Linked DNA regions of Lonchura striata. The protein of the gene in region 1 interacts with the protein of each later gene in a pairwise test. Links are inferred from orthologs where the notes say so. Each region holds a gene or a part of one and is shown in the gene's direction. Other genes may lie near its edges. The genes, in order: NUDT3, ankyrin repeat and SOCS box protein 13 and RPLP1.

Region 1 (7,142 bases):
GCTTTGGGGGAATATTTCAGGGGCAAGGTAAAAGATTCCAAAAGAAGCTCTAACCCCCAATGTAGTCCTAGACTTTTATTCTCAAAAGTTTCCAGGGGAGAAAAAGGGAGAACAAGGGAGAACAGAGCCTTGTCTAGACTCCTGCTCATGAAAATATAATTGGCTCTCAGCCAATTAGGTCAAGAAAGGAAGGAAAGGTTAAACTAACATGGTTACAGCTACAGGGGTCTCTGGTGGGGAAAAAGCCATTTCCCACAGGAATACAACCAGGTCCTTGTTTAAGGTGAACAGCAAACTCGTGGTGGAGGAGCAGCAGAGCTCACAAAAATGCTGAGGGGTTTGGAGCACCTCTGTGAGGAGAGACAGAGGGAGCTGGGCCTTGTTAGTCTGGAGGAGAGGAGACAAATCCCCACAGATTTGCCCAGGGCATGTACCAGAGGATGCTGCCAGACTCCCTTCAGCGCTGCCCAGTGGCAGGACAAGGAGCAGTGACCAGAAACTAAAATACAGCAAGTTCCACCTCAGCATGAGGAAGAGCTTCCCACTGGAGCAGCTGGGGGTGTGGTGGTCTCCCTCTCTGGGCACATTCCAGACCCACCTGGACACGTTCTTGTGCCACTGCTCTGAGTGACCCTGCCTTGAGAGGGCTTGAAGAGGGTGAGCTCCAGATCAGCCCCAGCTGCTCTGTGATTCTGTGTGTGGGGCTTGCAGCTCTGATTTTCCCTTGGTGGCTTTTCACACCCCAAGTGCAGGGGGTGCAGCAGACTCTGCTCTGGGGGATCACATGGGTTGTGCTTTTTTGCTTCTGAGCCACTTTGGGGGCCAAGGAGCGCTGGGAGTTCACCCCCAGCTGCTGCAGTTTGTGTCTGAGCCAAACAAAATGGGAGCATCACCTGCTTCAAAGGAAGGAATTGCAGAGAAACTGGGAATACGATGCTTTCTTTGATCTCTGAGTTGCTTGGGTGTTCCAAGATTTGTTCTTTAGATGCTGCGTTTATCCAGTGAGCTTAAAGGAGCTGCATCCCTGCTGGGAGGGAGGGAGGACTGGCAGCTTCTGGCTGGGGTTTGTGCAGGAGGAGCTGTGTGTGGTGTCACAGGATTGTCCTGGTGCTGGAACCCTCCTCAGCCCCCTCTGGGCAGGGATATTTGGAAGGGCTGCACTTGGTGCTCTTTTTTTACTGTGGATGAGGCAGCAGCAGTCTGAGAGCCACAGAGGTGGTGTAGTAAAATAATTATTGCAAGAACTGGGATTTTTATGGCCATACCAATGCATGTGGATGTTCAGGAGGATGCTGGGGTGCATCCTTGGTCCTGCCTGGGTGGGCTCTGCCCAGCCTGGGCTCCAGGCACACAGCCCAGTCCCTGAGAGGTGGTGGTCCCACCACAACTGGGTGTTCCTGCAGCAGTTTTGTCTGCTATTAATCTGACATTCTACAGATAATCTGCTTTTACTGACATGAGGAATTTGGGGTACTGACAGTGTGGCTGGTTCAGGCTGGGGTCCGAATTCTGTCCTGCAGTTTGGGATCAGCTGTGCACCAACATCAGCCATGGCAGACTCCCAGTATTCTGGGATTTTTATCAACAAAGCACTAGTTTGATGTCCAGAAGACAATTGGGATGATGCTGTAAACCCACTTCTCACATTATTTAACTTCCACCCTGCCCCAAGCTGAGCAGATTTCACTCTTAAAGTGAAGTTTCCCTTACTAAATCACTGCTTCCCTTAGGTTTATTCTCCCCGAACTGCTCCAGGTGCAGCACTGCTGGCAGACCCGGTGCTGTTCTGCACCTTGGGGTGCAGGAGCTTTGTGTTTGTGGCCTGGCTGAGCAGCGTTTGAGGCTCTGCTCTGTGTTGCAGGTCTGGAGGGCGAGCGCCCGGCGCGGCTGACGCGGGGTGAGGCTGACCGCGACACGTACCGCCGCAGCGCCGTGCCACGTGAGTGTGCCCCCTGTGCCCCCCTGCCCCCTCGGGGACAACTGTCCAGCTCTGGGGCTCCTCTCAAGGAGAAAAGAGGAAGATGAGGCTCTTGGCATAGCTATGGGTCTGTATGTGAGCGTGGATGGGAGGAGTGCTGGAGTTTTGTCCAGCTGAGCTGTGGGGTTTGCCCTGGGGTTGGCTCAGTAATTCTCAAACGTGCTCATTTACAGCTGTTGCTTTGCTGTGTTTAGCCCCAGTTTTAGTTCTGTGGGATGGTTAAAACTTTGCTTCCAGGCAGGGGATTCTGTGGGTACTGACTGCTTCTCTTTCTGCAGCTGGTGCTGACAAGAAGGCTGAGGCTGGTGCTGGAGCAGCCACAGAATTCCAGTTTGTGAGTGTTTGCATTTGAACTTTGCTTCCTTTTTTGAAGGTTTTGGTGGGAGAAGCTGGAAGGTCCTGCCTGTAGGATTCTGAGGGTGTCAGAGGGGCTGGAAACTGTCACCCTTCAGATGCAGCTTGCTCACTGTAGGGAAAGGATGTGGTGGGACAGAGGCCAGTGACAAGTTTGAGAGCAGGCTGAGCTCTCTGGAGATCCATGGTTTTATACCTCAAAAATGAAAGTATTTCAGGTTTGATCCACAGAGCTGGCTGGAATGTGTTGATGTTGGTGGCACTCGCCTGGCTGACCTGTGCCATCAGAGCTTTGATGATGTTTGTCACTGCTTGACACAATGATTTCTAACACTCCTTTTGCTGTTGCAGAGAGGTGGATTCGGTCGTGGACGTGGTCAGCCCCCGCAGTAGAACTTCGTGCTCATGTTTTGTGTATAATAAAAGAGGTGAAAATGCCACTGGGTTCATGCCTGTGTCTGAAGCACACAAACAGAACTCACGAAGCACAGCGTGACTCAGAGCTTTGGCATCTGGGACAGCACTTTGGGAGTGACTAAATGCAGGTTCTGTTCTGCTGAAGGAAGTTCAGGGGTGTGGAAGTGAGTCCTGGAGGAATGCAGGAGCATTTCCCATCTGCCCGGGGCGATGCAGCAGGGCTGGGCTGGGGCTGAGCTGGAAAACTCAGCTGTGCCAGCCCGTGTCCCTCTGATGGGGACACGGCCCGCGTGTCCGCACCCTGCGCTGTCACCTGGGCTGTCCCTTGTGGGGACCGGGGGCGGGATGGCGGCAGGACCGACGGGGGGCGAGTGGCGCAGTGGCCGCCGCCTGCCGCCAAGTGTCGCTGGGCAGCCGGTGACAACCGGTAACGGGCCGTGATGGCCGCGGTGTCACCGGGCACACGGACACTGACCTGGCGTGTCACCCAGGGGAATGGACACCCAGCCGGGTGTCACCGGAGGGGGAATGGACACACGGAGAATGGCACCGGGGATGGACGCGGCCCCGCGGTGTCACCGGGGATGGACACGGCCCCGCGGTGTTACCGGGGGGGATGGACGCGGCCCCGCGGTGTCACCGGGGGGATGGACACCGGGGATGGACGCGGCCCCGCGGTGTCACCGGGGGGATGGACACCGGGGATGGACGCGGCCCCGCGGTGTCACCGGGGCCGGGACCGGCGCGGTGCCGGCGCTGCCGCAGCGCCCCCGCGCGGCGCAGGGCGGGCACTGCCGTCCCCGCGGAGCCGCTGTCACCGCGGGGCCACGTGCGCGCGGCCGGCCCGGCCCCTTGCGCCGTTCGCGTAAGGCCGAGCGCCCGCCGCCGCCGCTCTACGCCGCCCGCCCTATTCCCGAACGCGGCCCGCGCCGATGGCGTAGAGCGCGCGAGCCGGGGCGGGGGCGTGGCGGCGCCGCCAGCGCGGGGGGAGCGATTCTGGAAGCCGCGCTGCGCACTTGGCGCTCCGTGAGGCCGCAGGGGCAGCGCCGCCTCCCCGCCCGGCGGCGCTACGCCGTTTGCGTAGCGAGCCCCAAGATGGCGGCGCGGTCGTCGTCGGCGGTGGCCGGAGCGCGGGCGGTGGCGGCGGCGCGGCCGGCAGCGAGGGCAGGGGTGAGGCGGGCGAAGGGCGGCAGCGCGTAGCGAGACCCACGAAGCGAGAACCAGAGAGAGACTGTCGCGGGCAGGCGGTCCCCCCGCGCCCCCCCCCGTCCTTCGCCGCCCGGTGGGTCCCGCCCGCCCCCGCCCTCCGGGCCGCGCGTCCTCCGGCCCCGCCGCCCCCGGAGCGGAGGATGATGAAGCTCAAGTCCAACCAGACGCGCACCTACGACGGGGATGGCTATAAGAAGCGGGCGGCCTGCCTGTGCTTCCGCAGCGAGAGCGAGGAGGAGGTGAGGGGCGAGGCCGGGCCCGGGACCCCCGAGCCGCCCCGGGGTGGGGGGGACTCGGTGCAACGGGGTTTTATTTTTAATAGGCGTCGTTCGGCGTCGCTGGCGGAGCTGGCGCTGCCCGCTTGGTTGCTGTGTCCGCTGGAGATGCCCGGTGGGCGGCAGGACGGGCGGAGGGGAGCTCGGGAGGGGGTTTGGCAGCGTGGGGACCGACCACGCTGGCAGAACTTCAGTCCAGTGCATCACATGAGATGGCAGAGGAAACCTGACCTTGGATTTATAAAAAGAAACTGGGATAAAAGGGGACTGATGGAGTGCCAGAAGTTGCTGTCCGGAGAGTTTGGGAGGAAGTGGGAAATAAAGGTGGATCGGTTGATTTGAGAACGGCCGCGTTGCTAAGGGGCTGCATTGTCCGGGAAGTTCCAGTGAGAAACTTCGCTCCCGTGTGCGGTTTTACACCAATTTTTGTTGACAGCTCCTGAAGGTGGGCTCGGGGTGCTCCGAGCAGCGAGGTTGCAGGTCTGCCTTCTGCTGCTGCTGCTGCTGGAGTCAGGCGTACACACTCCGCTGCATTTGCTGTGCCCGAGTGGCTGTGCTAAAGTCTTTGTTCTCCTGATTATCATATTTGTAGCTACAGGAAATCGGGAGGGAATGCAGACAGTTCACTGGAGGAAAGGCAATTAGCATACATCCAGTTATTATTTAACGTGAAGGAGACTGCAAGCCCTTTGTAGCTGTGCTGGCGTGATGAGGAGTGTCAGCATTTCAGCAGAAATGGTCTGAAATGACAGCAGTGTGTTTGGTGTAGTGTTCAGTGTAGCTGATCCTTCCCACGGACTTCCAGGAAATTTATGGACTGACCATGAAGAGGACCATCATTGTTTTTGTGTGGTGATGCTGGGGGTGCTCAGCACGGGTGGGTCAGGGCGTTGGAGTGCCCTGATGAATTGTACACAATTAGTGGGGCAGTTTGCAGGCTCTTCTCCAGACGGTGGAGGCTTGGCCATGTGTGAATGCAGTGTGGTTTAGGGTAGAAAAGTACTTCTAACAGGTGCCTGAGGCACTCAGCGTGTGACCGGTTGTGAGTTTTATTTTAACACACCTCAGGCTGCAGTGTTGCCCAAGCTCCAGCTGATCCCTCCGGCCCGTGGGAGCTGGTGACAGAACCCTTGTGGTGCTGGGGACACCCAGGTGTGCTATGGCAGGTGACAGAGCCCTCATGATGCTGGGGACACCGAGGTGTGTTATGGCAGGTGACAGAGCCCTCATGGTGCTGGGGACACCGAGGTGTGTTATGGCAGGTGACAGAGCCCTCACTGTGCTGGGGACACCGAGGTGTGTTATGGCAGGTGACAGAGCCCTCACTGTGCTGGGGACACCCAGGTGTGCTATGGCAGGTGACAGAGCCCTCACTGTGCTGGGGACACCCAGGTGTGTTATGGCAGGTGACAGAGCCCTCATGATGCTGGGGACACCGAGGTGTGTTATGGCAGGTGACAGAGCTCTCACTGTGCTGGGGACACCAGGCTGTGTGGCAGTGCCACAGTGCTCAGAGCTCCAAGGAGGAAAGTGAGCTCGTTCCCAAGGCACGCTGGCGTGGGATGGATGCTTCAGCAGGCTCAGCTGTCAGGTTGGTGTAAGGCTGAGATTCAAAACCCCTTTTGTGTCTTCGCTGTGGTCTCCACCTGCAGTGGGTTGAATTTAAACTCCTTCAGGCTCTAGTTTCTAGGTAAGGGCTGGAGTAGAACGATCTGTGTCTGGTTTCAGGCAGGGTTTGAGGGAGCTGGCTCCCTGTGCTGGTTGTGCTGGCTCATTCCTGGGGGCCCGTGGGAGGTTTCTGTGAGCAGGGCAGGCTCTGGGTGAGCGTTGTGCTGTCCCTGTGGTCGCTGTTGGTGGCCTCGTCCCTGAGCTCGCAGTGACAGCTGGCAGTGGCTCTGCTGCCCTGGGACAGCTCGGGGAGGGAGCAGTGGCTGCACTCCTGGCTGGGCTGGTTTCCTCAGGGTGTGCTATGTGTGCTGCTGGTGAGGAATGAGGCAGGGAAGGGCTGTGTGTGGTAGCTGGGAGTTGAACCCTGAGCTGAAAGTGCCTCCTGTGCTCCCACCTGTTACAGCCCTGCTGCAGGAGCTGCCCAGGAAGAGGGCTTGTCACAAATACATCTGGGAAAGTTCTTACCAATCCCACAGAATTAACCCCACTGGGATGGACTCTGTGCTCAGATCCTGCACTTGGCCTTGGTCAAAAGGTGTTGAAGTTAAACTTGTGTCAATGAGTGAAATCAGCAAGCAGGACACCTTATTAATTTTCCTTTCTAATTATTTCCTGGGTTAATTCTCATTTGTTGGTTTTTAAATAAACTTTGAAAGAAGCTGCCTGGTGTCCACTCACTGCGACTTGCACTTAATTTTGATAGCAAGAAAGGTGTCATCTGTACACATTTAAGCACAGAATATAAAATGGCTGTGAAAGATTTCTTGGTTTGCTCTTGGACAATAATACTTTCTAATGTTACTGACGTATTTTATTATTGATTGCTTCTATTTAAGTGGAAATTGAGATCTCTTTAAAAGGTCTCTCCAGGGAGGGGAGAAAGAGTCAGAGCCAAAGTATGTACATTAAAGAGCTATTAAAAGCTTAGTGTTTGAAAAGAGAGAAGAAAATAAGAATGTTTTGATAAATAAATTAAACTTTCTATATTAAAGTAGGATTTTTCCTAGGACTGGCTGTTTCTCATTACTGTTCCTTTTAAGTGCTTAAGAAATAGTAGAACTTTGGTCTTGCCTTTCTTCTTCATTTCCTGCTATGAACTCAGAAATCCCATTTTTTCCTGTTTTTAACCCCGCATTATTTCTTGAATTTAAAAAGTTTGTCAATGGACAAGAAGAAACAAGAGAATTCTGTTTACTCTTACAGAGGTTACTTTCGTATGCTTAGGTGTTTCCCCCTGGTTC
Region 2 (7,604 bases), on another chromosome or scaffold:
ATTTATTTATAGCATTTATCGCAGCAAATTGATGATGCCGATGACCATTTTTAGGCTTAATTATATATTATTATTTATGTATTCTTATTTCTTTATAGCATTTATCACAGCAAATTGATGATGCCGATGACCATTTTTTGGCTTAATTATTTATTATTATTAACATATTATTTTTTATTTATAGCATTTATCGCAGCAAATTTGCCGATGACCATTTTTAGGCTTAACTATTTATTATTATTAGCATATTATTATTTATTTATAGCATTTATCGCAGCAAATTTGCTGATGACCATTTTTTGGCTTAACTATTTATTATTATTAACATATTATTATTTATTTATAGCATTTATTGCAGCAATTGATGATGCTGATGACCATTTTTAGGCTTAATTATAAATTATTATTTATGTATTCTTATTTATTTATAGCATTTATCACAGCAAATTGATGATGCCGATGACCATTTTTAGGCTTAATTATTTATTATTATCAGCATATTATTATTTATTTCTAGCGTTTATCACAGCAAATTTGCCGATGACCATTTTTAGGCTTAATTATTTATTATTATCAGCATATTATTATTTATTTCTAGCGTTTATCACAGCAAATTTGCCGATGACCATTTTTAGGCTTAATTATTTATTATTATTAACATATTATTATTTCTTTCTAGCGTTTATCACAGCAAATTTGCCAGATCCATGGGATTTTTCTAGCTCCTTCTGGCGGATAAAAACCTGGAATTCTTGCTGAGACAGAAATTCCTTCCTGGCTGCCCTTTAAGAGGGGAAAACCCCCAGCCCTGTGCCCAAAGAAATCCAAGTAATTCAGTCTTGGGAGCTACTCCTGGTGGGGAAAAGTTTCTCTTTTTGGTGCCTCGTGATTTTTTTGGGTGGTGACAAGCCAAGCCCATGATGTCACCGTGGTGGGGACCCGGTTCCTGGCGTGGATTTATTTTGGCTTCTTGACTCACAAAGTTTTCTGGTGCGCTTCGATGTGATTTTAAAGAAACCGTTTGGCGTTTTATTTTTATTCAGAATAAAAAAATCGAATTATTCGGCTCCGTGAAGAGTGGCAGCGCAATGACTCAAGCGGGAGGTGAGAGCAGCAGCTCCTGGTGACATCAGGGTAAAGCAAATAATTCTATTTATTATTGACTTTGTGGGGCAGTCCGGGGGAGAACACAACCTGCAAACAGCAGAGAGGATCCTTTTGGGTCAATCCCAGAAATTCATGGAAAAGCTGCATTTCTCTGGCTTGCTCATCATGGAAATGCTGAGTTTTCTCCTATTTCCTTATGATCGTTTGGGTGGGAAGGGACCTGTCTTTTCCATTAATTTTTCAAGCCCATGTTGACAACAAGGCAGCGATTTTTCCGATTTTCTCCGAAAAAATCCACGGGTTTCAGCTCGAGTGGGCAGAAATTTGCTGCCCCCTCCATTTCTGCTCTGTTTTCTCTAAAGGGGTGGCAAACCAAAAAACAAAAACAAAACCAAAACCAAAAAACCAAACCAAAACAAATCAAAACAAAACAAAACAAAAAAAAAAAAAAAAAAAAAAAAAACCCCAACAAAAAACCCAACAAAACAAAAACAAAACAAAAAACCCCCAAAAAACCCCAAAAAAACCAACTAAACAAAACAAAACAAAAACAAAACAAAAAAACCCCAAAAAAACCCAAAAAAACCAACAAAACAAAACAAAACAAAAAAAAGAACAGAAAATAAAAAGGGAAAAAAAAAAAGCAAAATCTGGACTTTTAAACCCAAATTTTTACTTTATTCCACAGCAAGGTGTCACCCCCTTGCCCCGTTCTTCACTCAAGAAAAACTCCTTTAATCTCTTAGGATCTCACAGCAAATTTTGCCCAATTTTATTTTATTTCTCCTTTAATTTTGTCACTTCTGTCCAAAAAAATGCTGAAAATCATCAAAAATACCCCATGAAATGGCATTTATTTTATTTCCCTTTTAATTTTGTCACGCCTGTCCCAAAAAAAAAAGGTGAAAACCATCAAAAATACCCCAGGAAAGAGAATTTTTGATGCTTTTTCGTGGGCTTTTCATGCAGTGCTCCCGACCCAGTTAAGATTTTTGCTTTTTGCTTTGATTTATTCTTGGTTTTGGTTTTCTTTTTGAGCAATTTTGGCGTTTTGCGCCTCTGGAACCCACGGTGCTGCTGGGGTGGTGATGTCAAACATTTCAAATAGTCCTGGTGGCTTTTTAAAGTCAGACCTAAAGTTAAACCAGCCCTGACAAAAGGCTTGAAGTAAAACCCAGTTTATTTGAATTTAATGGTGCAACTGTTAAACCACAGAGAATCCTCAGGAAATGACTCAAAGGTGGCAAGGAAGGCAGAAAATTCTCATTTTTTTCAAGTCTCTGCCATTCCCCACCCTCTTATTTTTCACAAAAATTATTCATTTCGTCGCTTCACTCTTCAAAAAATAATTCCTGGTGCTGCTTAGCCGATAAATTTGCAATATAAACCTGAAGATTTTTTAAATATTGAGCTGAAATGTTAATTATTGACATTGATTATCGCTCTTTTTACCAGGTACAGCTGGAGCCAGCAGATACGAGCTCTCTCCAAAAGGTTTGATCCTGGCAAAAATCTTGGAATCATGGAATTTTTTGGGTGGGAAAGCACCTAAAATTCCTCCAATTCCATTGGCAGGGACACTTCACTATCCCAAATTCCTCCAAGCCCCCATCCAGCAATTCCAGGCATGGAGCAGCCATAAATTCTTTGGGAAAAATATCTTTTTTTTTTTTTTTTTTGAACCTGGAAAAATCCTCCCAGGATGGAACAATTGCAGTTTTTATGGAATTATTGCCATGGATTTTCCAGCTCTGTCATTTCAAACCAGAATGGATTTATGGAATTTTATCCTCCTGCAGGGGCAAATTGGTATTTCCTCCAAAATTGATATTTTCTCCCAGATTGGTAATTTTTGGGAGAAAAACATGGATTTTTCCATCCCAGCAGGGAGCAAGGACAGGGTGGATTTTTATGGTCAGAAGTGAAGTCAATGCAGAATAGAAGTGATAGAATTTTAATTTTTTTCCCAGCTAAAAAAATTAAATTTCCTAAAAATAATGTAAAAATGAAGGAATAATGTAAAAATGGGATTTCTGCTTGGAGGAACAGCTCTCCCTGAAGTAGGAGTAACCCCTGCACCCCATCCCAGTGCTCCCAGTAACCCTCAGACCCCATCCCAGTGCTCCCAGTAACCCTCAGACCCCATCCCAGTGCTCCCAGTAAGCCCTGCACCCCATCCCAGTGCTCCCAGTAACCCTCAGACCCCATCCCAGTGCTCCCAGTAAGCCCTGCACCCCATCCCAGTGCTCCCAGTAACCCTCAGACCCCATCCCAGTTCCCCATTCCCCATCCCAGTCCCACATTCCCCATCCCATTCCCCATTCCATCCCCATTCCGCATTCCCCATTCCATCCCCATTCCCCATTCCCCATCCCAGTTCCCCATCCCCATTGCCCATTCCCCATCCCAGTTCCCCCATTCCCCATCCCCATCCCCATCCCCATCCCCATCCCCATTCCCCATTCCCCCATTCCCAATTCCCCATCCCCATTCCCCATCCCAGTTTCCCCATTCCCTGTTCCCCATCCCAGTTTCCCCATTCCCCATCCCAGTTTCCCCATTCCCCATTCCAATTCCCCGTTCCCCATCCCAGTTCCCCCATTCCCCATCCCCATTCCCCATTCCCATTTCCATTCCCATTTCCATTCCCATTCCCATTCCCCATCCCAGTTCCCCCATTCCCCATTCCCATTCCCCATTCCCATTCCCCATTCCCATTCCCCATCCCAGTTCCCCCATTCCCCATTCCCATTCCCCATCCCCATTCCCCATTCCCCATTCCCCATTCCCCATTCCCCATTCCCCATCCCAGTTCCCCCATTCCCCATCCCCATTCCCCATCCCCATTCCCCATTCCCCATTCCCCATCCCCATTCCCCATTCCCCATTCCCCATTCCCCATTCCCATTCCCCATCCCCATTCCCCATTCCCCATCCCCATTCCCCATTCCCAATTCCCCATTCCCCCATTCCCAATTCCCCATCCCCATTCCCCATCCCAGTTCTCCCATTCCCCATTCCCATTCCCCATCCCATTTCCATTCCCATTCCCATCCCCATCCCCATCCCCATCCCCATCCCCATTCCTCATCCCATCCTATTCCCCATTCCCCATCCCAGTTCCCCCGTTCCCCATCCCACTTCCCCGTTCCCCATTCCCCATTCCCATTCCCCATTCCCCGCGCTGTCCCCGCACTACAACTCCCATCGTGCCGCGCGGCGGGCGCCCCGCGCCGCGCTCCCCGCTCTCTCCCCGCACTACAACTCCCGTCGTGCCGCGCGGCGGGCGCCCCGCGCCGCGCTCCCCGCTCTCTCCCCGCACTACAACTCCCGTCGTGCCGCGCGGCGGGCGCCCCGCGCCGCGCTCCCCGCTCTCTCCCCGCACTACAACTCCCGTCGTGCCGCGCGGCGGGCCCGGCGGGCCGGGCCATGGAGAGCCCGGGCGGCGGCGGCTCCGCGCGGGGCGACATCGGTGCGTGTGCTCGGGCCTGGGACCCGCCGGGGAGCGAGCTGCGACCGGGGCCGCTCCGGGAGAACCCGGAGCCGCGCCCGCGCCGGCTCCTGGCGGCGTGCGGGAGGGGCTTTGGGGCTTGCGCCATGAGTTGGGCGCTTGCAGCGTGGGTTGCGGTGGCGCGGACTGGTGTGGAGGTTTACGGATGGCTCTTGGCGTTTAAAGCGTGGGTTTGGGTGCTAAAGAGGGGTTTGGGGGTTAAAGTGTGACTATGGGGGTTAAGGAGCGGTTTGGGGTTAAAGGGTGGGATTTGGGGGCTGCTGGGCGAGGGAGCGAGGGGCAAGGAAAGGGTTAAGAGGATGGGTGTCAGGACACCGGGAGCGATCCTTGCTCCTCCCGAATTCCCGGGGAGCGATCCGTGTTCCCCCCTAATTCCCAGGGAGCGATCCGTGTTCCTCCCGAATTCCCGGGGAGCGATCCTGTTCCTCCCGAATTCCCGGGGAACGATCCGTGTTCCTCCCGAATTCCCGGGGAGCGATCCGTGTTCTTCCCAAATTCCCGGGAGCGATCCGTGTTCTTCCCGAATTCCCGGGGAGCGATCCGTGTTCCCCCCTAATTCCCGGGAACGATCCGTGTTCCCCCCTAATTCCCGGGAACGATCCGTGTTCCTCCCGAATTCCCGGGAACGATCCGTGTTCTTCCCGAATTCCCGGGAGCGATCCGTGTTCCTCCCGAATTCCCGGGGAACGATCCGTGTTCTTCCCGAATTCCCCTCCCGCGCTGTTTTGTGGACGTTCCCACCTTGGAGCCGCGGGTGCCCAAATCCTGGGTCACTCCCAGGGCTTGTGTCCCGATTCCCGGGGCAGGGACACCTCCCACCATCCCAGGCTGCTCCAGCCTTTCCTTGGACATTCCAGGGATCCAGGGGCAGCCCCAGCTGCCCTGGCAATCCCAGCCCAGCCAGGAATTCCTCATTCCCAAATCCCATCCCTGGCTGCCCTCTGGCAGTGGGAGCCATTCCCTGGGTCCTGTCCCTCCAGGCTTTTCCCAAATTTCAGCTCTCCTGGAGCCCCTTCAGGCCCTGGAATGTGCTGGAAGCTCTCCCTGGATCCTTCCCTTCTCCAGGGGAACATTCCCAGCTCTCCCAGCCTGACACTGGATCCATCTCCTCTCCAAGAAATTCATGGACCCAGGGGCTTCACTTGGAATCTCAGAAACCATGAAGGGTCTCCCTTCCCTTTCCCTCTCTTTTCTATCCCCATTTTCCATAAAAATCCCTCGGGATGGATCCTGAGTGTCCCAAATCCCAGAATCCTGGACCAGTTTGGGTGGGAAGGGACCTCAAAGCTCATTCCAGGGACACCTGCCATGATCTCAGGCTGCTCCAGTCCTTCCTGGGACATTCCAGGGACCCAGGGGCAGCCCCAGCTGCTCTGGCAATCCCAGCCCAGCCAGGAATTCCTCATTCCCAAATCCCATCCCTGGCTGCCCTCTGGCAGTGGGAGCCATTCCCTGGGTCCTGTCCCTCCATCCTTGTCCCCAGTCCCTCTCCAGCTCTCCATCCTCATTTGGATTTGCTTCTCCCGACACAAAAACCAGGAGGAGCTCCAGGCAAGGAAATCCACCCTGCCCGGGGATACTGGCAAAGAAATGAGGATCTTCCAAACCAAGGGAAAAAAACCCTGTGGAAATGTTGATACTCAGAATTCCCTTTTTTTTTTTTAAGGAGGGGCTGCGTGAGCACAGGGAGCTGTTTTTGCTCAGGGCCACCTCCAAAGCAAAGCCCACCTGAGAGGAGGTGACGCTGTCCATTTTCCCTTGATCCCAGCTCTTTTTCCATGTTCTTTTAGGAATCCAGAGTTTGGGAATGGATTTTTTGAGTTGGGCCGAGTTTTCCTTTGATCCCAGCTCTCCTTCCATCCAGCCAGCCCATGTTCCTGCAGGAATCCTGAGAGATTTTTGAGTTGGGCTGAGTTTTCCCTTGATCCCAGCTCTTTTTCCATGTTCCTTTAGGAATCCAGAGTTTGGGAAGGGATTTTTGAATTGGACTGAGTTTTCCCTTGATCCCAGCTCTTTTTCCATGTTCCTTTAGGAATCCAGAGTTTGGGAAGGGATTTTTGAATTGGACTGAGCTTTTCCTTAATCCCAGCTCTTTTTCCATGTTCCTGCAGGAATCCGAAGTTTGGGAAGGGATTTTTTGAGTTGGGCTGAGTTTTCCTTTGATCCCAGCTCTCCTTCCATCCAGCCAGCTCATGTTCCTGCAAGAATCCAGAATTTGGGAAGAGATTTTTTGAGTTGGGCTGAGTTTTTTTCCCTTGATCCCAACCCTTTCCGTGCTCCTCCAGGAATACACATCTCCATGGAACAATTTGGGCAGGAAGGGTTGGAAACTCCCCTTGTTCCATCACCTTCCACCAGCCCAGCTTGCTCCAGACCCTCTCCAAAACCCATCCTGGGACAATTCCAAGGGTGTGACAACCACATCTTCCCACATGTGAATCCCACCCCATCTCCTCCCCACCCTCCTGAGAAATCCCATCCCGTGGGGTGCCAAATACTGTCGGAATCTGAGGTGTTGATGATTCCAAAATTGTAGAAAGTTTCTGTTTTTTAGCTCTGCTGCCAAAGCAGAAGTTATAAACTGTTTGTGCTGGTTCCCAGGTTGTTTATTCTGTTGATCTCTCACATGTTCTGCTGCCCTGCCCAGCTCTGTCCTGCAGGGCAGCGTGTGGGGCTCTGCCCTCAGTGGGATGTGACAAACATTCAATACCAGAAACTCCCTGGGCTGCATTTACAAGAACGTGCCAATATCTGTCACCTCCGTTGGACAGTGTGTCCCCAGCCTGAACCAACAGAAAAATGCCAACACCACAGTGAGACATGGAGGGCATGAAGAAGGAGAAAAAGGACAAGGCACACCCAATTTCCTCCAGCTTGTCCCCTAATCTAGAATCCTAAAATTTTACTTTTGCACCCGTGGCACGCTTAATGATTACTGATATCAAACACTCAGAGGTGGTAATTGATGCTGTGAGATTGGAAATTC
Region 3 (6,527 bases), on another chromosome or scaffold:
AAAGGTTTGTTCTGAAAGAGAGTTTTGAAAGCTCTGTAACAGCATTTTTTTAAGCATGGTCTTTATATGCTGTATTAACAATTATACGGTAGTGTAAGAACAGCTTCTTAAACACTTAAAATTAGGTTTTTCAAAAGAAAAAAAATTAGTAACTGCTGGGCACAATACCTTTCTTAACTGCTGAATTTCAAGATGACATTTCCCAGAACTGATATCTGTCACAGTAGAAATTATTAATTTTGGAAAAAAGTATGTACTAATAATTCTGAAGCAAAGATGGTATTTAGGAGCAGCATTTTAAAAATCATTTATAGCAGTGGCAGCAATCTAGGGAAAATATTTTATACACAAATAGGCTAGTGACAAATGATACAGCTTTTCTTTTTATGAGAAAACATAACCTAAGTAACAACCATTCCCATTTTAAATTTAATTAATTTTAAAACCCCAGAGTTTATAAATGTCTGACAGTCATTGTTTGCAATGATACAGTAGCAAAAATTTTTACTCAGAGCTGAAAGATGTGAATTTTATTCTTGACTTGGAAGGGATTTAAGCTCTTGTTTGTCATCTCTCAACTAGCCTAACTTTTAAGATGTTATCCTGCAGTACATGCATTGGACCTGGCACATATTCTGCATTCTGCTTTACATAAGAATTTAAAATCAGAGCCAAAGTGAAGAAGTTCATGGCTCTATGCACTAAAGTGTTCAAATTTTACAAACACTTTGAGGGTTCTGGCCCCCTGCTCAGGAACTGTTTGTTATTTTAACAATTAGATATTAAACCACAATTAATCCATGGTGGAGGGACCAAAACATGATTTTTGTCTTTCTATAGATAACTCTCCCAACTACCAAGTTACAAAACTGCATTTATTTTGTCAAATGAATTGCAATAATAATTTATATTTTAAAAACCCAAAACAAAACAACTAATTATCATTAGATTACTAACTTCAGTTCACTCAAAAAAACAATTTTTTCCAGCTGATCAGGGCCAACAATGCAACAATTCAACTTGATGGAAAAGATGCAGCACCACCTATTGGGGATGTGTTACACTCACTGGTTGTTACAGTTTCAAGAAATACCAGAGTTTTGTTCTTCATTGTAATGACCTTGTTACAGTGGAAAAAACAAACAAACAAAAAACCACCAAAAACAACAACAACAACAACAAAAAACCCACCTCAACCAAAAAACAAAAAAATCCAACTAGGAACAAAAAAGACTTTCCAGAAAGAAGATAAAAGAAGTAAATACTGTACCTGAGACTGTTCACCAGGAAAAAAAGCATGTTCCTAAGTGCCACATCTACATGTCTTTTAAATACCTCCAAGGCTCAATCCCTTCACTGGGAAGCTTGTTCCAATGCTTGACCATCCTTTCCATGCAGAAATTTTTCTTAATAGTGAATTTAAACTTCCCTGAGTACAACTTGAGCACAACTTGAAGTAATTTCCTCTCATCCTATCATCATTACCTGGCAGAAGACACCAAGCCCCACCTTCAGCCTCCTGTCAGGCAGCTCCTTCCCTCCCCAGCTTTGTTCCTTTTCTCCAGACAGGTTCCAATGTCCTTCCTGTAGTAAAGAACCCGAATCTCAGCACAGGACTCGAGGTGTGGCCTCCCCAGTGCTGACTACGGGGGGACAATCACTGCCCTGGCCCTGTGGCCACGCTTTGCCTTTGGTCACTGAGAAACTGCAGCCTTAGAATGGGACAGAGGCAGCTTGAGGAGAGAAGAATCACCTCAGGAAGGTTATGAGCAGCAACCAAATAGTGTAGCAAGGACAAGAACAGAGAAAGGAACAATCAACTTCAAGTCTCCTTGGTAAAGACCTCTTGAGTCTGACCACTTTGATGACCACCAGTGGCCTTGGTCATGTTCTAACTCTCAGCATCAGCTCTGTAGTGTTCACACAGCTAATTCAGGGTGAGGTGCTAAGGGCTGACTGCTTTTTGTATGATAATGACAGAGCTTGCTGATGTTTTCATCTTCCTTGGCAATGCACAGGCACATCCAGCGAGATCTCTGCCACTGCTCCTCACCATCCATCCCCCAAGTGTCAAATATCCACCTCAGGGAAGTTTCACAGCCAAGTTACTTGTTTTGTTTATCCTGAAGACAGCCCTGTGTGATCCTGGACCAGCTTGCTAGTACACAGCTGTAGCATCATCCTAAACCTCACAGCCTGGAAATAACTCACCACCCTGGAATAGCAGAATACACAGAAGAATGTAAGGGGGTTTGCTGGGGTTTTTTAAAGCCTCCATCTATTTGCTGTAGATTTATCCAGAACAGATTTCTGCTCCAAATGCATGGTGATGTGTTAGACAGTAAAAGTACAGACAGTTACAGGATCAGAGGTGAAAAGCACACACCACTGCAAATTTCTAGACCCTTTATCATCCAGCTTTATTAATTAAGCTTTATTAACCAGCAGTCCCGATCACATACCTAGGCTTCCAAAAGCTTTAGGAAGCAGCAAAACTGGGGTTTCTTTTGGCTTTTTGCTTTCTTTTACATAGTGATTTGTTTTCATCAGAACTTTATTCTGGGCTCCTACAGAGCAGCTTTATCAGTGTCACTCAATAGATGCAGCAAGACAGCCATGAAGCAAGGATGCAGGCAAATCTCATTTAATTAACATCTTTGCCAACCAAAACCTAAGTTTATGTGAATGTCACATTTAAATTTTAGGTCTTCATATTTTATTTTTTAACAACCCATCAGAATTTCTAATAATTTTTAGCTTAAGGACTGTTGTAGCAGAACTGTTACAAAACCATGTCTATTAAGCATATAATTTTGTTGACTGCCTGTACACTTCCAGTACTCATCTCCCAGGCCAGCAAAATTTGCAAGTTTATTTGATTGAAAAGGATCTTATATCTCTCTTGCTACTTTCCAGTCAGATCATCATCTCATGGACCACTGGGACAGCTCTGAGGGCTTTTGCACAGGAGACCTTGGCAGCCCCGGAGTGAGGCTCACACAAGTCCCTGTGAAATCCCATCCTCAAGCACCCAGCAATGACAGAAGTTCCTGGATATTTAATCCCACTGGAAAAGTGCATTTATTTGCTGCTTTGAGTTAGGTATAAAAATGTAGACAATTGTCCTGTGCTTTGAATAGGAAGTTTAAGTAAATGCTTAAATTCAGAGCTGTTGGCCCCACAAATAGGAATAAGCACCCACAAATTATGCACTGCATCACTGTGCATTTATCATCTCCAGCAGTGAGTAGTGTTAGATTTTTGTTTAGTGAAATTCTCAGTTGTTTGTGATCCTTAGGAAAGGATGGAGGTAATGTCAAGAGGTAAAGTCCCTCTCAGTTTTCACTTGTAATTGCCTAATAAATCCTGAGATTTCTATAAAGGAGCACTACAAAAGCAGGCTGGATACACTTTGCTGGTAACAGTTGTCATTTTAGGATTCTAAAATTTCAAGCTTGAAAGGGACCTTGAAAGGTCAGATAGCCCAGCCCCACTGCAATGCACAGGAATGCACCTGATCCCCCTGTTCATGTCTTTGATGAAGACTTTAAATCATAATGGTGCCAAACAGACGTGAGAGACACATCTGATCTTCATCTGGACATTGAGTCAATCACTGCACTGTGGATGTGACCATCTAGCCAATTCCTTATCCACCAAACAGTCCATCCATAAAATTAATCTCTCTCCAATTAGACATAAGAATGTTGTGTGGGACTGTGTTAAAGGCTTTATAGAAGTCCAGAGAGGTGACATCCATAGCCCTTCCCTTGTCCACTCCATGTGGTCACTCCATCATGGAAGGTCCCTTGGCTGATCAGGCAGGACTTGACCTTGATGGAGCCGTGGATGTCCTAAATCACCTCCCTGTCCTCCAGGAGTGCCCTGGCACAGCTTCCAGGAAATCTGTTCCATTCCCTGCCCAGCCACTGAGGTGAGGCTCATCAATTGCACATCTGTCAAGAAGACAAAAAAGAAAACACGGAGAACATTCATTTTTCACAATCCGATTATGCCTTTGGAGCAAAACGCTGGAATTTGCTCAGGCTCTCCAGAATCCCAGAACGATGAGGTTGGAAGGGACCACAGTGGGGTCACCTGGTGCCACCCCCCTGCTCCAGCAGGGCCATCCCAGAGCACAGCGCTGGAATCTCTCCATCGAGGGAGACCCCCACCCTCCCCGGCCCATCTGTTCAGTGCTCGGTCACTGCACAGCAAAGCTCCTGTCATGCTCGGGTGGAGAAAATCAGGCCACACAGTTCTGCACCTTTTCTTCCCGTTTCATTACACTCAGCAAATGGAGTGTTTTAGCGAGGCAGTAACACCTGAAATAGTTAATGGGGGAGGAGGGCTTGGGTCCTTCAAGCTGTGCCAGGGAGGTTTGGTTTGGATCCCGGGAAAACGGCCTCAGCCAGGGCAGTGGCGGAGTCCGCACCCCTGCAGGGACACAAAAGCCGCGGGGAAGTGGCCCTTGGGGGCACGGGCGGTGCTGGCCGTGCTGGGGGAGCAGCAGCCCCGCTGCCCAGCGCCGCTCCCGGTTTTCCGGGCGGATCATTCCCGGTGAGGGACCGGGAAGGGGGAGGGCGGGAGCGCGCGTGCGCACCTCCCATGCGCGGCGGGCCGCGGGTGACGTCACAGATGACGCAACACGCACCGCCATTATAAACCCGCGCCGCGGCGCCCGGCCCCTTTCGCTCCGCGGAGGCCCAAGGTGCTGAGTCCTTCGTACGAAGCTAAGGCCGAACCACCCGGCGACCAGCACCGCGCCCCGCCATGGCCTCCGTCTCCGAGCTCGCCTGCATCTACTCCGCCCTCATCCTGCACGACGACGAGGTCACCGTGACGGTGAGTGCGGCCGCACAAGATGGCGGCGGCCGCGCGGCATGGCCGCCTGAGGGGCCGCGCCGGGCGGGCTCTGAGCGCCGCTCTCTTCTTGCAGGAGGACAAGATCAACGCGCTCATCAAGGCAGCCGGAGTGAACGTGGAGCCTTTCTGGCCGGGGCTTTTCGCCAAGGTGGGCGAGAGGGGCCGCGGGCCGGGCAGAGATGGCGTGTGGGCTCCGCACCGCACCTCCCGCCCATGGTAACCGGGCTTCGCTGCCGCGTGTCGTTCTCCGCAGGCGCTGGCGAACATTGACATCGGGAGCCTGATCTGTAACGTGGGAGCGGGCGGCGGAGGGGCTCCGGCTGCCGCCGCTCCCGCGGGCGGTGCCGCGCCCGCCGGCGGAGCCGCCCCCGGTAAGTGGCGGCCGCGTCCGACCGGACCTGGGAACGTGGATCCGTGGATCCGTGGAGTGGCTTGAGTTGGGAGGGTCTTTAAGGCCATCTCTTCCCACTCTCCTGCCCTGGGCAGGGACACCGTCGTCTAGACTCGGCTGCTCAGAGGCCCATCCCACGCTTGCAGGGATGGGGCAGCCGCAGCTTTGCAAGCACCGGCTACAGGAGCTGCTTGCATGTGGTTGGTGCCATGCAGTGTGTGAGTGAGTGTTCTTGAGCAAAGCACGCCCTCCCCTTGAGAAAGGCTGGCGTTGCACATGAAGTCAGTGTACAGGATTAGTGTTCCCTCAGAATTAAATTGCTTTTCCTGTATGTCATCAGGATCATACAGAGCATCAGCATCTCCTCTCCCAAAGTTTTTCAGTTTTGATAGAAATGAACTCTGAAGTCACAAAACCACTCTTCCTACTAGTACAAACACTATTCTATTTTATATTCACTATTCTTGCTGCTGGCTTAGGTTGTTAGGACTGCTCAGGTCTTCATGCTTGATGTTAGTCATTGCATGTGACACCTGTTGTGACAAGTGACTTCTGTGAGATGATAAATTGAAAGATAAATCCTGTCTCATTTCCTTTCCAGCTGAGGAGAAGAAAGAAGAGGAGAAGAAGGAAGAATCAGAGGAATCTGATGATGACATGGGCTTTGGTCTTTTTGACTAATTAATTTTGTACCAGCCTGTAATAAAGAACATCTGCTTGTACTCATGTCTCTCAGGTGGATGTTTGTGGAGGGTGGAGAATGGCCAAGTTACCTGCACCTCCTTAAACTTCTGTCATGAGTGCTCAGCTGGGGCTTTACAACTTCCCCTCTCAGCTTTTTGGTGTTCCACAAGCTCTAAAAGGCACCCACAGTCCCTGAACAGAGGGAGGAATGAAATCCCGGTGAGCAGAGGGTGTGGTGGTGACAGCCTGGAGCTGTAGGATGGGATCCTGTTCTGCAGAAGGGCTGGGCTGGTGCTGCAGCCTCTGGTGCTGTGACACCCCTGGTTACAGCAGCAGTGCAGCTCCCATGGCACCCGTGCAGGGGCAGCTGTGGCACAGCAAAGCCGAAGGCTTTTCATCGTGGGGAAAAAGGCTGCAGTTCTCGGGTAGAAGGCTGAGGTTGTGTAAGGTACAGAATAGATTTACCTGGCCAGAAAACTGGTGTAAAGGGTGCTTGTGGGAGGTGATGTAACTGCACTGGAAAGGGGCTACTTAAAAGGCATGGGTTTTATAAATAACCCTTGAAAGCACTTCTCCAGAACAGTTG

Evidence for each region.
Region 2: the proteins of NUDT3 (region 1) and ankyrin repeat and SOCS box protein 13 interact in a two-hybrid assay, tested with the Homo sapiens proteins (2 studies listed by BioGRID and IntAct). The link is inferred for Lonchura striata from reciprocal best matches to the Homo sapiens genes NUDT3 and ASB13.
Region 3: the proteins of NUDT3 (region 1) and RPLP1 interact in a two-hybrid assay, tested with the Homo sapiens proteins (2 studies listed by BioGRID and IntAct). The link is inferred for Lonchura striata from reciprocal best matches to the Homo sapiens genes NUDT3 and RPLP1.

Annotation. Positions count from the first base shown.
Region 1 is NC_134632.1:4,258,424-4,265,565, reverse strand, and holds the start of NUDT3 (diphosphoinositol polyphosphate phosphohydrolase 1), read left to right. Parts: upstream 1-4,050; 5' UTR 4,051-4,098; coding exon 4,099-4,197; intron 4,198-7,142. Other genes in the region: RPS10 (small ribosomal subunit protein eS10), read left to right, coding at 1,862-1,939, 2,257-2,312, 2,684-2,725. UniProt on the Homo sapiens protein: Cleaves a beta-phosphate from the diphosphate groups in PP-InsP5 (diphosphoinositol pentakisphosphate) and [PP]2-InsP4 (bisdiphosphoinositol tetrakisphosphate), suggesting that it may play a role in signal transduction.
Region 2 is NC_134607.1:71,793,415-71,801,018, reverse strand, and holds the start of ankyrin repeat and SOCS box protein 13, read left to right. Parts: upstream 1-4,512; 5' UTR 4,513-4,536; coding exon 4,537-4,579; intron 4,580-7,604. UniProt on the Homo sapiens protein: May be a substrate-recognition component of a SCF-like ECS (Elongin-Cullin-SOCS-box protein) E3 ubiquitin-protein ligase complex which mediates the ubiquitination and subsequent proteasomal degradation of target proteins.
Region 3 is NC_134603.1:5,028,204-5,034,730, reverse strand, and holds RPLP1 (large ribosomal subunit protein P1), read left to right. Parts: upstream 1-4,645; 5' UTR 4,646-4,773; coding exon 4,774-4,845; intron 4,846-4,939; coding exon 4,940-5,014; intron 5,015-5,119; coding exon 5,120-5,237; intron 5,238-5,858; coding exon 5,859-5,938; 3' UTR 5,939-5,979; downstream 5,980-6,527. UniProt on the Homo sapiens protein: Plays an important role in the elongation step of protein synthesis.